4 linked regions of the Nothobranchius furzeri genome follow. The protein of the gene in region 2 binds, or shares a complex with, the protein of the main gene of each other region. Links are inferred from orthologs where the notes say so. Each region holds a gene or a part of one and is shown on either strand. Other genes may lie near its edges.

Evidence for each region.
Region 1: the proteins of topbp1 (region 2) and phf8 are in contact, whole or in part, in a crystal structure (PDB 7CMZ), measured with the Homo sapiens proteins. The link is inferred for Nothobranchius furzeri from reciprocal best matches to the Homo sapiens genes TOPBP1 and PHF8. Residues at the interface, in NP_008958.2 of Homo sapiens: Gln1298, Cys1299, Arg1314, Asn1315, Glu1316, Leu1319, Arg1369, Ser1406, Arg1407, Gly1410, Phe1411, Arg1413, Leu1414, Arg1465, Thr1466, Glu1467, Ala1470, Asp1471, Gln1475, Asn1483, Tyr1484; in NP_001171825.1 of Homo sapiens: Gly842, Ala843, Cys844, Phe845, Asp847, Ala848, Tyr850, Ile851, Tyr852, Pro853, Ser854, Leu855, Glu856.
Region 3: the proteins of topbp1 (region 2) and brip1 are in contact, whole or in part, in a crystal structure (PDB 3AL3), measured with the Homo sapiens proteins. The link is inferred for Nothobranchius furzeri from reciprocal best matches to the Homo sapiens genes TOPBP1 and BRIP1. Residues at the interface, in NP_008958.2 of Homo sapiens: Leu1272, Ser1273, Ser1274, Leu1275, Asn1276, Pro1277, Arg1280, Gln1298, His1311, Leu1313, Arg1314, Asn1315, Glu1316, Lys1317, Leu1319, Gln1366, Arg1407, Gly1410, Phe1411, Leu1414, Thr1466, Glu1467, Ile1469, Ala1470; in NP_114432.2 of Homo sapiens: Ser1129, Tyr1131, Phe1132, Thr1133, Pro1134, Glu1135, Leu1136, Tyr1137, Asp1138.
Region 4: the proteins of topbp1 (region 2) and gins1 are in contact, whole or in part, in a cryo-EM structure (PDB 8OK2), measured with the Homo sapiens proteins. The link is inferred for Nothobranchius furzeri from reciprocal best matches to the Homo sapiens genes TOPBP1 and GINS1. Residues at the interface, in NP_008958.2 of Homo sapiens: Leu490, Leu491, Ser492, Gln493, Tyr494, Glu495, Asn496, Leu586, Ser587, Arg588, Thr589, Val590, Val596, Cys601, Glu602, Val603, Ala605, Thr606, Val607, Gly608, Val610, Lys629, Pro636, Val637, Pro638, Val639, Met640, Thr641, Arg726; in NP_066545.3 of Homo sapiens: Asn43, Gln44, Val47, Asn48, Lys51, His66, Arg91, Tyr94, Gly95, Ser96, Asn100, Arg103, Phe104, Arg119, Ala122, Met125, Glu132, Gly133, Leu134, Asp135, Thr137, Gln138, Asp139.

The regions. Positions count from the first base shown.
Region 1 is NC_091755.1:27,007,656-27,011,889, forward strand, and holds the start of phf8 (histone lysine demethylase PHF8), read right to left. Parts: upstream 2,830-4,234; 5' UTR 2,751-2,829; intron 2,696-2,750; exon of another isoform or gene 2,500-2,695; intron 1,975-2,499; 5' UTR 1,881-1,974; coding exon 1,783-1,880; intron 1,636-1,782; coding exon 1,550-1,635; intron 1,369-1,549; coding exon 1,242-1,368; intron 973-1,241; coding exon 812-972; intron 280-811; coding exon 138-279; intron 60-137; coding exon 1-59. UniProt on the Homo sapiens protein: Histone lysine demethylase with selectivity for the di- and monomethyl states that plays a key role cell cycle progression, rDNA transcription and brain development.
Region 2 is NC_091747.1:45,081,219-45,084,780, reverse strand, and holds part of topbp1 (DNA topoisomerase 2-binding protein 1), read right to left. Parts: coding exon 3,349-3,562; intron 3,269-3,348; coding exon 3,096-3,268; intron 2,959-3,095; coding exon 2,747-2,958; intron 2,657-2,746; coding exon 2,361-2,656; intron 2,287-2,360; coding exon 2,101-2,286; intron 1,992-2,100; coding exon 1,876-1,991; intron 1,743-1,875; coding exon 1,619-1,742; intron 1,480-1,618; coding exon 1,333-1,479; intron 1,264-1,332; coding exon 1,194-1,263; intron 1,117-1,193; coding exon 924-1,116; intron 854-923; coding exon 612-853; intron 431-611; coding exon 191-430; intron 50-190; coding exon 1-49. UniProt on the Homo sapiens protein: Scaffold protein that acts as a key protein-protein adapter in DNA replication and DNA repair. Composed of multiple BRCT domains, which specifically recognize and bind phosphorylated proteins, bringing proteins together into functional combinations.
Region 3 is NC_091753.1:22,952,007-22,955,568, reverse strand, and holds part of brip1 (Fanconi anemia group J protein), read right to left. Parts: intron 1,955-3,562; coding exon 1,688-1,954; intron 127-1,687; coding exon 1-126. UniProt on the Homo sapiens protein: DNA-dependent ATPase and 5'-3' DNA helicase required for the maintenance of chromosomal stability. Acts late in the Fanconi anemia pathway, after FANCD2 ubiquitination.
Region 4 is NC_091752.1:47,394,566-47,398,454, forward strand, and holds gins1 (DNA replication complex GINS protein PSF1), read left to right. Parts: upstream 1-1,405; 5' UTR 1,406-1,514; coding exon 1,515-1,589; exon of another isoform or gene 1,590-1,602; intron 1,603-1,808; coding exon 1,809-1,873; intron 1,874-2,204; coding exon 2,205-2,303; intron 2,304-2,378; coding exon 2,379-2,469; intron 2,470-2,613; coding exon 2,614-2,730; intron 2,731-2,800; coding exon 2,801-2,875; intron 2,876-3,215; coding exon 3,216-3,284; 3' UTR 3,285-3,374; downstream 3,375-3,889. UniProt on the Homo sapiens protein: Required for correct functioning of the GINS complex, a complex that plays an essential role in the initiation of DNA replication, and progression of DNA replication forks.

The sequences.
Region 1 (4,234 bases), on a different chromosome or scaffold from region 2:
GATTTTCAACCCACGAAAGTTTTCTCACAATCTTGGGAGTCTCCACCAAGTTTGAGAGCCTGAGACAAGTCCAACAGATCACATCCATGAATACACTGCCAAGACTAGGAGATACTCCTCTGTTTAGATTTCTATACCTGGTGTCAGAAAACTCCAAGCTGATGACATTAAGCACTTTCTCCCTGTTAGGGCTGTTGTAGTACTCAACAAAGTCTCCCAGACGCATCTTTAGATCACATTGTCGAGACACATCGATGACGTCGATCTCTTTATCTGTACCTGCCATTGATATTTTTAACAGAGTAATTTTGTTAGTCATATTGAACTCCAGAAAGTTAAAAAAAAAAAAAAAAAAAAAACTTGCATTCTCATTCATTTAAGAAAAATTTCTTGGGCCATGCTTTATTTCATTGTAATAAATTCAAAAAAGACAAACTTTTGTGCAGTCTTTGAAAGTGGTCTTAAAACTTTTCGAAACGCTCTTTGTTACCTAGCTGTGTTTATTAATGTATTTGGTAGATGCCTTAATTTACATATGATTCATTTTACAATGCAGTCAATCACCAGACGTGCATGTTTCCAGGGTATCAGGAGGAAACCCGGGAGATGAGTGAGGGCAACATGCAAAATCTAAAATTTGCTCAAGAACTCTTCCAAAATTCCAAAAAGCTGTGTGGCTAGTTTAAAGTACAAGGATTAAGAGTTGGCTCAAAACGTTTGTGCACTACTTTGTGTATGAAGCTGATAAAACAAGATAACATGATAAAACTCAATGTATCCAAATCATGGGTTTAACAGACTGAAACCGTACCAATGCAGTGCTCTATGTCACTGACACTGAATGATGACGGAGGAAGGGTCATGCCTAAGCCATCCCGCCTCAGCACCATAACAGGAACGCTGAATGAATGTTCTTCCAGAAACTCGACTGTCAGCTGCGCCCCAGATGGCTTGAGCAAGATTTCATCCGCGCTGCGATCATGACACAGACACAAGAAAACATGACATATTTAGAAATGTGACAATAAAGCTTATCCATAAAAAAATAAAAAACACGGTAATAGTTATAAAAGCAACATCAGTGAAATCTAATGCAATGGCAATAACAGAAAGTGTATTTTATGTTTTTACTCCATTTCAAATGTTAAAATGGAGTGTGATGTTTACTAGAACTAGCACACCACACTGACATTATAGTGATATTTTTTACTTATTCATTTGTTGCCAGACATGGTTCTTACCTTGGGAAGGTACGACTTCGAAGCTCCCTAACAAACTGTGGACTCCCCGTCTTAACAGGTCGACTTGGATCTCTTCCTACACTAGTGCTTCCATCTGTCTGCTTATTGGCTCCACGTCGTTTGCGCACTGAGAAAACAATTAACATGTGCACAGTTAAAGACGAAAGTAACAGCAGCATAACAAGTTCAAAAATGTGTGCTTAGCACGTATAAATCCTGTGACAAATTGATAGCCAAGTTGTAGAAATACAAATGCCTGGAAGTGACAATATTTTTAAGTCTCTTTTTAACCAAATAAAAGGACTTACTAACTGATGGCCCATGGGTGACCTGACAGTTGGGGCAGTGATACAAGTCAATCTCAACTGCTTTGTTCTCCTCTACTCCGACACAACTGTACAAATAATACAGGGCAGATTAAATCAATCATGTCCAGTAAGTTCAAAACCTATTTTACCTATGGAAATCAAATTACGAATACATAACTGAAAAACATGCCAGTAAATTTTAGTCTACAAAATAAATAAAAACAACATATTACCTTCCATGAAACCAGTCCTGACAATTGTCACATTCGATCATGAAGCGTGTCACATCATAGGGAAGGCGACACAAGCAGTACAGTGGGACTGATGCCATGTTGACTTTAGGTGTGTGTACAAATGTTAATGCAGATGTAAAATTGCTGTTGGTGAACTCCTGATAATATTATATACTGGATTCACTTGAATGACTATTAAAACACAAACACAAGAGAACAATATTAGGAGGTGGTCATCACTCATGATTACAGTAAAAACACACATACACCACTTTGAGACGTAAGTGGGTTAAAACTTTCAGATTCAGTAATCTAGCTCTCAGCTGAGCACGAAACTTGTTGGCTGTTTGTAGCTTAGAATAAAGCGCCATCAATGGTAAAGCTTTTGCATAAATTAACTAATTACATAGTAAGATTTCTGTTATCGTGGTATTTGCAGAATATGTCTGAAGCTAATTCGCTTCTGCTTATAATGCTACAACGTCGCAAGTTGTAAGGTTAGCTTGCTGTTTGTAAACACACCGTGCTCGGCTACACTTTGAGCGCAAGCTAGCATTAGCCGCGCAGATAGCTATCCAATAACAATTGTCCAGATGCAAACTTGAACAGTTAGCTTTAAATAGTATATTTGAAAGACGTATTTTATGAAGCTAATACTGTGAGGTAATTCTAGCTAAGCTAAGATGGGTAACTCAACCCTAGCCGATTGCCACTCACCAAACCGCTGCTGCTCTGCGTCTAGGCCAAACACTGAAAAGCGGCTGTAATCTCTACGCAAGCTCGGGGGCTACCGCGGCCTTATTATGCGACGTCAATTTTTAGCAATTTACTTCAACACATTTTTGTTTATGAACTGAATGATGCTCAAAAACGAAGGTCGTGTTTAGACAATAGCACTGGCACAAAAACTAAAACCTGAAGAGAGCTAAAAGAGGAAAGTAACACGCAGAAAGTGCGCCTTTAACTACCTCAGCGCCATTTCAAAGAGGATAGCGTCAAACCGTTGTTTCGTTGTTGTTGTCTGCAATTGGATGAACAATAAAGTTGCGGATAGTCAAAATGAGTTAAAAAAAGCTTTCATGCGGCTACAGAAACACGTACTTTCAGCACTTTCAACATAAATATATACTTTGATATCACGTTTTTTAAATAAATTCAATATAATGAACTAATTATAATTATATGTATAGAATTTGTAACTATTCAAACATCAGAAAACGCATTTTATACTTTTGTTTTTCCCCGACTTCCTCTTAACCCTTTGATGCATTATGAATTATGAAACCTTCAACCATGTTTTTTAACAGTCTTTTTCATTAATCTTTAGGTGTGAATGAAACAAATTTCAACAAATGTTTTTGAAACATTTAATAATTTACAAATAATTTATTACGTGTCCACCTTAGTGGACAGCATGCATTCTGAACATGATGTTGGCTTGACTTGCTGAAGTCTAAATGGAGGGGCTCAAATGCAATAGTCTTCAACAGCTGTGCTTTATAGCAAAACAAATAAATAACAATTTTGAGTACCTGTCCACTGTAGTGACCATTATGCATCAAAGGGTTAATTAAAATGTACTTGTTAATTTATGAAATATTGCCATCAGCTAAAAATTCAAATTTCTGAAATCTGTGATAAACAAATGGTCTTTGAAGATATTTTGTTTTCAGCAGGCCTACATTACAAAAACTTTGTATGACATGGTGCATGCTGATTTGTAAACAGAAACTGCAATAAAGAGATCATGTATCCTTTTCATATTTAAATCAAAATCTGAAGAGCTACTACTGACTTGCTTTTGAAAAAAAAAATGCCATGCATTTTGATGATTAAATCATTTATTTTGATTAGTTACAAAACATATAAAATCAACAGTTGAATTAGTTACAATGTACAGAGAGGGAAATCATCAGCATGTTTTATCTCACATTTTCTGCATAAGAAAACCTTTTTCATTGGATCACAGTCATGTATTTCGGGTCTCCCAAATTTGTTGTTTTAATTTATAATATTTTAAATCTGCACAGCTGGTGTAATTTTGTTACGAATAATCCAGATTAAAACAGAAATCACGTGTATATATAAAGGACTTTTCCTCTATATAAATTAAAAGTAATGGCTCTTGCTTGTAGAGATACTGTATATACAAGCACTGGGAGCCCCATATAAAACAGGGATTAAAAAAAACTTCTAATTAATAGCAACAAGAATAAAATTTTACAATTTGTACACTCCCATTCTAAAATACAAAAATAATATTTATCTTTTAAATCACATTTTGGTAACACTCACAGGGACACAGCCACCTTCAGAATCATGACCATCAAGCTACAGCTTGTTAGACACGTTAGTATCGGACAGCACAGTATCTCACCTTCACTACTAGTAAACTACTCTGAAAGTGTAGCAAGTCTGGAAAAACAAATGAAAACACACTTTAAAATTCATA
Region 2 (3,562 bases):
ATGTGGGAGCAGCTGGGGTCGAAGGACTGCTTGTCCAGGACAACACCACCTAAAGTAGGACAAAGAACAGAGAGACTAAGACACACTGGACCTGGTCAGGAGACACGAACTAGACCAAGCTAAAATAAAAATCATATTCCATCTCCTGCTTTTGGTTTCTGTGACCAGGTTGGAGCTCTGAGGGACTCACCCAGCTCCTCTATCAGCTGGCTGTAATCGATGCGCTCCTGAGGACTGAGGGAGGACAGCTGGAATCTGGGAGGCTGCTTTTCTTCTCTTGTCTCGTCCTGATGCTCCGGAGCTCCTGCTGGTTTAGTGAGGGGAAAGGCGATGCTAGGAGCTCTAGGAGTGAGGATGTCTTCCTCTGGTTCCTCTGGTGGAGGGGTCATGACCTTCTGACCCAGCTGCTGGTTAATAACCTCACAAGCAGCTGTGTGAGAACAGTGAGATGCATCTTTAAGCTGCATTACTGTAAACAAGACCTCAGCTTTTAGAAACCGGTAAAACGTGAAAACGTTGCTTCGTATCAAACATTACATGAAGCTTCAATAAGCTGGAAAACTAATGAAACACTCAGTTCTTTAGTTCTGTGTATGTCTCACGGATCTTACCGATCTCCACCAGCTCCGAGTCCGTCATGGAGTCCTTCAACTGTGATCTGGTCTCTGCGGAGGGAGGGGGTGCAGGTGCAGCAGCAGCCGTGAGAGGTTCGGAGTGTTGCGACGGACTTCCAGGCCACTGGAAGTTATCCGCCAGCTTCGCCCGCTCCTCCCGGGCCGTTGGGTCATCCCAGACGATCTGCTCGCTCTGAGACGGCTCCGTGTTGATGTCCAGGGCTGCTTCTCTGGAAACTCTGGGGGGAAAATATGTAAACACTAAAGTTTCACATAGAAATATCTTAATTAGCTTCAACAGAAAGCCACCTGAGAGCTTCCAGGGTCCGTCTGCTCCCGCCGCGGCTGGCTCGGCTCACGTCGGGTGTGTTCGGACCAGAATCAGCACCTCCTGATCCCATTCTAGCCAGTCTCACAGACGTGCGTCTGCCCGTCGTTATCTTGGTGGCGGACATGATCTCCTGCAGCTGTCGTTGCAGGGTCTCCCCCATTTCCAGCATGTCTGAAACGTGAAACGGCCTCTGTTACCTCGTGGTTCGTCATAAACGCAGAAGCAGCTAGAAGACGGACACACGTCACCTCTCTTCTCATCGTGATCGTCGCCTCCGTTACTCACAGCTGAGGTTGCTCCTGCAGCGGGGAGCTCAGACTGACGGGACAAACAGAACCGTCAGACATGAGATGGAAAACATCAGTTGCAACACTAGACCAATGCTACCTTGTCAAGTTTGTCTCGGAGCCGTGTTCGTGGGAAAGGCGGAGACTTCTGGGAGCTGCTGGGCACCTGGCTCAGGTTTAGGCTCATCTTGGGGTTGTAGGTGAACGGATACAGAGACTCTGAGACGTGCTTCTGCTCCTCGGCACACTGAACGCACGCAAACACGCACACACACGCACACACACGAGTGTTTTATTTGTGTCAAAATCAAAAATCTGTACACAGAAATTAGACTTTTACAAAACTTTACTGAATAAAGCCGACTTTAAACATTTTTGAGACTCACAGCGTGCAGCCAGTACTGAGATACCACATGCAGCCCTCTCTCCTTCACCCCTCTGTACTCCCTGGAGCTGTCCCCCACTCGACCCTGGTAGATGTAGTGGGTCACCGTGTCATCACAAGCCCATCTGAAAAACAAAGGTGTTTTTGAACGATCTGGTTATCCCAGTAATAGTCCCAGTGTAGCCCCATTTGTTTATATTGTTTAAAACAGAAACATCCATCAGGTTAGTAACTAAAAACTCCCAGAAGGCCGAGCACCTGAAGTCAGCTCCCAGCGAGGCAGCAACAGCGTTTAGTTCGCTCTGCATTTTGCTGAGCTTCTTCGCCACACAGATCACAACACCAGTCAGAGGTCTGGCTGCTGCTTCTGGAGCCTTTGGGATAAAATGATGATGAATCACATTTATATTAGTTACAGGTGCTGAAAGAGAAACTCCAACCTTTTCAAGAGCAGAACCAAAAGCAGGTTTAGGACATATTTACCTCCTTCTCTGTCGTCTTGGCCAGCTGTGGGCTGGCGGTGACGGCCTGGAGGTCTGACATGTTCCCACGTGAGCTGTTGGCCAGAGCCACCTTCAGATTCCGGTTGATGACATCAGTCAGCGGCGTCTCCACCTTCTCTCCTGGCTTTGATCGCCCACCAGGCGTTTCCAAAGCTCCCAGTGCATCCTACAAAAATAAAACCCAGCCTATGACATGTTGTAGTTTGGAATGTTCGGTGTGGATGTCTGCTGCTGTCTGACCGCGACGTTAAACGACGGTCTGAAGAGCTGATCTCTGCTCAGGAACCGAGATGGCGTGTCCAGCTGCAGAGGAGGCTCCTTCTGAGGCCGCCTCCTTCTACTGTCCTCCTGGTTTTGTTCGGGTTTCATCTCATCCAGCACGGAGCGAAACACTTTGCTTTGGAAGCGGCCCAGGTCTAGCGGGGTGACGGCTTTCCCGCCCTGCGGACCCAGCAGAGGGATTTCAGGGGAACGTGGACGCGGCGGAGGCAGGATGGGTTTCTGGGAGCCGCCCACAAAGCTCTCTTCATCTCTCTCTACAAACGAGGGACATTTGAGGTGTTGGGAAAGCAAAGACAGGTTTTGTTCTCAAACGAACCAAAAAAATAAATAAATAAGAGAAAAACCTGGAGAAGGAGGTAGGTCAACCAGGTACTTCTCCTCCGCCGCCCTCTTGCCCGTACGAGCGGATTCCAGAATCCAGTGCATGGTGACAGCAGGGAGCCCCCACTTCTTTGCTGCCTGGTACTTTGTGCCTTCAGGAGTCTGCAACACCAGGTGAGTGCTGGCCAGCATCCCTTTCTTCTGGTTGGCCAGGCGCACAAAATAATCCTGCACACTACAGCGGGGGGGGGGGGGGGGGGGGGGGGGGGGTCATCAGTGATTCGTTTATGAAGCAATGAGGCAAATGTCCCATTTCAGATCTATGATGCATCAGGTTAAACTCAGAAAACAACGAGCAGGTAGTGGTCGTACTTTGCTCCGAGGTACTTGGCGAGCTCCACCAGGGACTCCCTCTCTGCTCCAGTAAACTGGCTGACGGAGAGGACGCAGTCCTTTAGAGGAAAATGTCCCTCCCTCACAGGGACGGGGACAAACAAAGGGTTGGCGGACAGACGTAGAACACACTCCTTCTCCACACACATGGCCTGAAATCAACAACAGGAAAACTTTAATATAAAAAATGCCAAAGTCTCAAAAGAAATAAAAGTTTTTGTTCCTTTGCTACCAGCCATGTATCCGTGACGACCTCGTCCACCGTGGCCTCCACCGAGCGGCCCAGCAGCGGAACCACGGCGTAGTCCGCCACCGCTCGAGTGCGGGCCGGCAGTACCTTGCCTCCTCGTTCTGAAACCAGCACGGAGAACTGCGCCTCGGCTTCAGGATCGAAACCCACAAGGAGGAAGGACCTGCCGGCAAACAGGCCTTCCTGCTGGGTCGAG
Region 3 (3,562 bases), on a different chromosome or scaffold from region 2:
GCGGAGCCGTCGGCCTAGAGACACCAGGTCCTCCACGTCCCATGCTCCACACAGTCCATGGACTGACTGCAGTAAATGCTGAGTTCCCATCTTTTTGACTCCATGGTAGTAGCGACACGAGCGCCCCTGTAAGGCACACATTTAACAGCTTCATTCAGAGAAGTGGTGATGTTAAACCAATTTGCCAAAACTGGTTTATATCTTAATAAAATGTGTGGGTCTACAAAGGTGGTCAAAGGTTAAGAAACTCTGGTTTCAAAGTTTGTTTAATTTTCCGCCAGATGTTTCTATGGTTACTGGAGTAGAACCACTCGAGGTTTCAAAGGTTTTTTACTGACAATTACAAGAAGTTGACCCAAATATTAAATATTCCCAGTGTTTGGGCCTCTTGTCATCTAATAATGCTACAAATATTTTAGTTGCAGACATTCTGGACTCAGAGTGAACTTCTCCCACTCAGAAACTATAAACAGAACTCACAATGACCTTCTACTGCATGGAACCATCAAAAACACTTTTTACACATATCTGTAAGTTTAAACATTTTATTACTATGACCCTGGTCAATGTGGCAAAGTCAAAAGCAGAGCTACGACTCATCTTCTACAGCTGATCATCTGCTCATCACACTTGAGCATTGGAAACATCTGGAAGCCCAGTTTTATCAGGCTGGCTTTATGACCATACAACAATACAGCATATTAATTATTAACTATTAACATTAAAACAAAAATAACTGAGTTTTTATTTTAAAGTATTTTATGTATTTTTCCGTGTACAGCTTACACGTTCAGACATTGATACGGTGCATGTAGCCTATCCTGCAGCTAGTCCTGACTACTACAAGTAGACGTGTCCTCTTAGATGTCCCACCCTGTTCTTTGTGACTTTAACAGCTTAAGGTGACACTGTCACAAAAACACTTCACATAGGTGGACCCGGCTACAGACAAAGCAATCATCTGTGGATAATATGGTCCTCTTCTCTTCGAGCTGTGCTAAGCATGGACCTTTCATAGACACCAAGCCCTGGTGGCAGAGTCACACAGCTGTTTTGAGGGTAGGGGTGTGTGTGTGGGAGGGTGGGGGGGTGTTAAGGCCTCCAGCTACCCTCAGAACAACTCTGACCAAAGTGTCCAGGAAGCTGTTGTGTTAGGAGCAGTTTCTCTGTGCATCAGAGTCAGTACTGCAGCATAACCTGACAATGACTGAACCAGACCCTTAGGTCACACACACACACACACACACACACACACACTCAGGGTGTCAGTGACACCTGCTTATGTGTGTGTGTGTGGGGGGGGGGGGGGGGGGGGGGTTATTTCGAGGGCAGCTTTTCATGACAAAAGTGAGATGATTGCTATGGGAGGCTAACACCTCTAATGACAACATAATTGTCTATATTACAGTAGGCGCCCGAACTTCAGGACATTATAGGAGGTTACAAGTGTATCACATCTCCAAAAATGGTCCTTGATATTCTAGAGTGTCAAAAAAGTTCTGTCAACCAATTGTGTATAATTGCTTCTCTGAGGCTATGTGTTCATTATGTGACTCTCCTCAGTGTTAGGTGTGTCAGTAACTGCATGTCCCACACTTCCTGATGAATCTTTGTTGTTTTTCACATGATGTTTTGTGTGTGTGTGTGTGTGTGTGTGTGTGTGTGTGTGTGTGTGTCCGTTCCTCACCTCTTTGTCCTCCAGCAGCTCCTTGCACAGCTCGTTGCGGTTGAAGTGAGGTACCACATCTGAATGAACACAGGTGTGCTTTCTGCTGGACAAGATGGTCATCTGTACGCTGGAGTACGCTGTGCGCTTCAGCTCATGTGCAATCTGAGTAATCTGTTTATGGGTGCGTGTGCCAAAGAAAATCTTTGGAATCTTCTTTTTGCCATCTTTGTCCTTCACACCATCTTTGGCTGAGGCACAAGGGCAGTGGGAGCAGGGCTCAGACATCTGGACACACACACAGAACAGGTTCACTGGATGTTCTCAACATCTCATCACGTACAGCGCTAGAGTGGTGGTGTGGGTCTGGCTTACTGGGTGGGGTTCAGCTATACACACCTGTAGGATCATTTTAGACATTTATCTGAGCTTACTTCCCAATAAAGACACATTTCAAATACGTGGCCAAAAAGCACAACATTACTTTTCCTCCTGGTTTGTTGTGTTTCCACTAAGGTCTGAGCTACGTCAGCAGTGAGTGCTCTACGTCCTCCCTGAAAGTCCCAGATTATGTCAAAGGGCCTACCTTCCAACCAGGGAGGTATACTAAAGATTGGTTTATGCTTGACGCGTCCGTGAGGTCCGCGCGGCTAAATTGCGTCATTTTAACAACCACACCCCTCCACCGCACCTCCGCACGGCCCAAAATTTCCGCACCGCGCACCTAGGAAATTTTCTAACCACGCGGACGGTCGGACGCGGAAAAACATCGCGGACTGGCAAGAACTAGTATGGCAGAGGTTTGTAAATACAGACATTTGTATGATTCAGCTCTCAGAGATCGCCATGATCAACATGTTAATAATTCTTGGAGAGAAATAGCTCGCACTGTTGGAAAAGACGAGGACGCTGTTAAAATTGCTGGAATGCCATGTTGTAAACAGTAATTTTTACTTCTACTATGGTGTAGTGTTGGATGCATGCCATAGAGCTCCATGCTGCCCCCTACAGCTTGGGAGAATATTGGCTCACCACAGAGACAAGCCGCATGAACCATAAATGCTGAGAGTTGTGAAGCGCGTTCCAGCCGCGAGCCGCATCACCAAGCGGAAAGTGAATGTGTCAAGCATAAACCCAGCTTAAGGCAGGGGTGTCGAACTCAAATTTGCTCTGGGCCAAAATGAAAAACTGGGACGAAGTTGCGGGCCAAACTCAATATTTTTTCAAAAGTGACTGCAAATGTGCACATTTGCCTTTACTACAGATATGAACGGTTGAACCTTTTCATTTGGAAACAAACTTAATTTTGCAGTAACACTGAATGTGGAGTACGGGCTGCATGACTTAACTTTTTTAAGTCAAGTAATTAAAATCGAGTCGACTTTGACTAGTCGTTGATGACGTCATACACCTGAAGTGGGTTGGTTCGCTGGAGTTTTTGACAATTAAAATTGCCCCCACATTTGCAACGTTAAACACAATGGTAGTTTCTGCATCTTTACTGTTCCCCTGCTTCAAACATAAAAGGAAATGAGCCAACATGAACGATCGCGTGTTAAATTAGTTTTTGAGGTGGCGACACCTAATTTGATAATGTTACTGTGGCCGTGCTCAGGATGCAGATGTCTGAAGCGTGTCAACGATCAGAGCTTTGCATGCACAAGCTGGTTAAGGTTAGGATGGGGGTGAGGGGAAGGTTAAATTGCAAGAGGGTAAAGGTCACAATTTGGTCAAATGTCTGTTTTTCCGCGGGAGTCAGATACGACGCGGTGGCACAGCGCGTCGCCTCCCAACACGCAGGGGCTGGTCACCTGCTGTCTTTTCCGAGGACTGCATCTTGTCTGTCATTATCACGTGACAGCGACTAGTCTTTGAAAGGCATAAAGTCACTACAGA
Region 4 (3,889 bases), on a different chromosome or scaffold from region 2:
ACATACGGCCGCAGGTCAGATGATACGACTACAAAATCTATCATCGACCTGTGACCTAGGCTGCCCTGGTACCAAGTGTACCGGTGGGCATCCTTATGTTCGAACATGGTGTTCGTTATGGCCAAACTGCGGCTTGCACAGAAGTCCAATAACAAAACACCGCTCGAGTTCAGATTAGGTGGGCCGTTCCTCCCAATCACACCCCTCCAGGTCAAGCTGTCATTGCCCACGTGAGCATTGAAGTCCCCCAGCAGGACAATGGAGTCCCCTGATGGAGCACTATCTAGCACTCGTCCCAGGGACTCCAAAAAGGGTGGGTACTCTGAACTGATATTTGGCCCATAAGCACAAACAACAGTCAGGACCCGTTCTCCGACCCGAAGGCGCAAGGAAGCTACCCTCTTGTCCCCCGGGGTAAACCCCAACACACAGGCAGAGAGTCTCTGGGCTAACAAAAAGCCAACCCCAGCCCTCCGCCTCTCACCCGGAGCAACTCCAGCAAAGTAGAGTGTCCAACCCCTCTCCAGGTCTCGGGTCCCAGAGCCAATGCAATGTGTCGAGGTGAGTTCGACTATATCTAGCCGGTACCACTCAACCTCTGCCACAAGCTCCGGCTCCTTCCCCGCCAGCGAGGTGACGTTCCATGTCCCAAAAACTAGTTTTCTTGTCCGGGGATTGGACCGCCAAGGCTCCCGCCTTGGTCTGCCACCCGATTCGCATTGCACCGGACCCTTCATGTTCCTCCTGCGGGTGGTGGGTCCACAGTTGGACGAGCCCATGTATCCGGTTCGGGCTGGGCCCGGCCGGGCCCCATGGGCGAAAGCCCGGCCACCAGGCGCTCGCTCACGGGCCCCAACCCCAGGCCTGGCTCCAGGGTGGGACCCCGGTAACCCTCCGGGCCGGGTACTCCGACTCTTCGTTTTAACCGCCATGAAAGATCCTTCGAACCGTTCTTTGTCTCACCCTTCACCTAAGACCAATTTGTCATGGGAGACCCTACCAGGGGCACTAAGTGCCCCAGACAACATAGCTCCTAGGATCATTAGGGCACTCAAACTCCTCCACCACGATAAGGTGACGGTTCAAGGAGGAGAAAATCTAACTAATTACTGTAGCTTACAATTAAATGTGTTAATGAAAGATTAAATGCTTTGTGGAGTGAAATAACAGGAATTTCTCGGCCAAACCCATCTTATTTCATAGACACATCTTTGGCGTTTATAACAAATTAAGCCTTTTGAAAATCGGTTGAAAATTGAGCAAGTTAGAGTTGCTTGAGAAAGGGGGGCAGCGGTCTGAGGTAAGATGGCCGCCACGTTCCTACGTCGCATCCCATTGACGAACAGTGGGGACGAGGCATCTAGTGTTTATACATACATATCTATGCCGGAGCCGATCTGGTACCGACAACGGATCTACGTCACCGGGTCACGTGATCAACAAAGCTTTTCCCGCCAACACCGTTCGGTCTTCACGGAGGAGAAACGGATAAGTTTTCTGATCGAGAGTTCGGGATGTTCTGCGAGAAGGCCATGGAGATGATCCGGGAGCTGCACCGGATGAGCGACGGACAGCTGCCCGCTTTCAACGTGAGGAACGCGGGTAACGGTCGCAGCAGCTGACTCCGTGTACAGCCAAGCTGGTTTAAGGTTGTTCAGATGTTGCCAACAGAAGCAGAAGTCTTAAGAACCAGTAGACCAAAGGATAGCTTAAACGGAACACCGGCTACAGTTCGGCTCTGATTTAACCCGGTAGCATGCTGTTCTACTGTTCCTTAAACCAGAACCCACATGCTGGCTCTGTTTCAGGAGGACGGGCTGCGCCAGGTTCTACAGGAGATGGAGGCTCTGTACGAACAGAACCAAGCTGACGTGTGAGTTCAGGCTGCTTCTGGTTCTAGGGTTCGGTGGACCGACATCTGAACGCTACTAAACTGTAAAAGATCAAAAAGATGCGGCTTCAACCACAGAGTTCGGGTTCTGGTTTTGTTTATCTACAGAAACCCTCCTCATATACTGAGGCCTCTCCTGTTTGACCTGACCTCTGACCCCACATCACCTGTAGAGAAAAGGTCAAACTGGTTCAAGAGCCTTTTCATGCATGAAGGATGAGGGGTCCAGAGGTCAGATACTGGTTCTGGACTGGCCTGAGTCCAGATGACCCGTATGTGACCTTACAGTAAGTCAGCTGATCTTCTGTTTCAGGAACGAGGCCAAGTCCTTCGGGCGCTCAGACCTCATCCCCTCCATCAAACTGCGTCACTGCTGCCTGCTGAGGAACCAGCGCTGCATCACTGCCTACCTGTAACTCCGCCCACAGTCATGTGACCAGCCTCACCTGCAGTCACTACGGTTTTTTTTACCGTTTGTTGTTTACAGGTACGACCGCCTGCTGAGGATCAGAGCGCTGAGATGGGAGTACGGCAGCGTTCTACCCGCCAACGTTCGCTTCCACATGTCTGCAGAGGAGGTCGGTGTGACATCACCTCCTGTTTTAGACTTCCTGTTGCTGCTTCACATAGAAAGCAAACTTTTCAATTCCTTGAAACTTTTATTTTGAAAGTGTCAGTGTTGTATTAGAACAGCTCAGTGTGTGTGTGTGTGTTGCTTTCAGGTGCAGTGGTTTGGTCAGTATAAAAAGTCTCTTGCTTCCTTCATGCGTTCCCTTGGTGAGGGGGAGGGGCTTGACATCACACAGGACATCAAGCCTCCAAAGAGTCTCTACATCCAGGTGAGTCACACCTGCCTGACCTCTGACCTACGGTCTGTCCTCATCATGCTGATGTCATGTTTGTTTCCAGGTGAGGTGTCTTAAGGACCATGGAGAGTTTGAGATCGAGGATGGAACGGTGATCTTGCTGAAGAAGAACAGCCAGGTCAGAATAGGATGCAGTTTGGATGAACACTCACTCACACACACACACACACACACGATTGGGCCGACAGCATGACATCAGAACCAGACCGTCCTCACAGCCTCAACAGGAAGCTCAGGATCAGGTGTATTGATTACCTGATCACCAGCAGCAGGAGCTCTCTGGAGCATACAGGTGTGTGTTGACATGTAGAGGAAGCAGCTGTGGATCTGGGATGGACCCACACTCACATTATTCCCAGGAGATGAATCCTGTGGCCCGTGTGTGTGTGTGCGTGTGTGCATGTGACGTGAAGCCTTAGAACGCAGCAGCTCACAGGAAGTTGTGTTTGTGTTCTCAGCACTTCCTGCCTCGGTGGAAATGTGAGCAGCTGATTCGCCAGGGCGTCTTGGAGCACGTGGTGTCGTGACGAGAGAAGATTGTGTGTGTGTGTGTGTGTGTGTGTGTGTGTGTGTGTGTGTGTGTGTGTGGTCACAACAAATAAAAGTGTTGTACCCATTCTGTGGCCTCTGTTGTGTCTCTGTGGTCCTGGAAGTGAAGAAACTCACGTGTCAGGTGCCATAGAAAGATGACAAGCAGCTGATAAAAACATAATGAGTCACACTTTGGTCCACAGGTGAGCTTTGGTGTGTTGCACCTGAACAGGTGAGAAATAGAGCAGCAAACACACTGATGCTGCCTGCTGTAACGTCCAGAAATGGTCAGTTTTCACCTACATATTGACCGACACAATGTCCGGTCACCTACAGACCTAATTCCACTATCTGAGTGGAGTTTCTATCCTGCCTTCTAAAGCCCAGAAGATTCTGAAGCCCTTGTTGACATTCAGGGGGAACAAGATGCCAGCCTATGTTCCCAAACAAAGCCTTCTTTTGATAAGACCACAGGATTGCTCACTCTCATGAAATAACTTTTACAACTCGTAAGTTAAAAAATAATATGGTTGAATGAACAAATGTTATATGTATAATAATGTTGATGTTTGAATAATCGGTGCCTAATTCAATGACACAT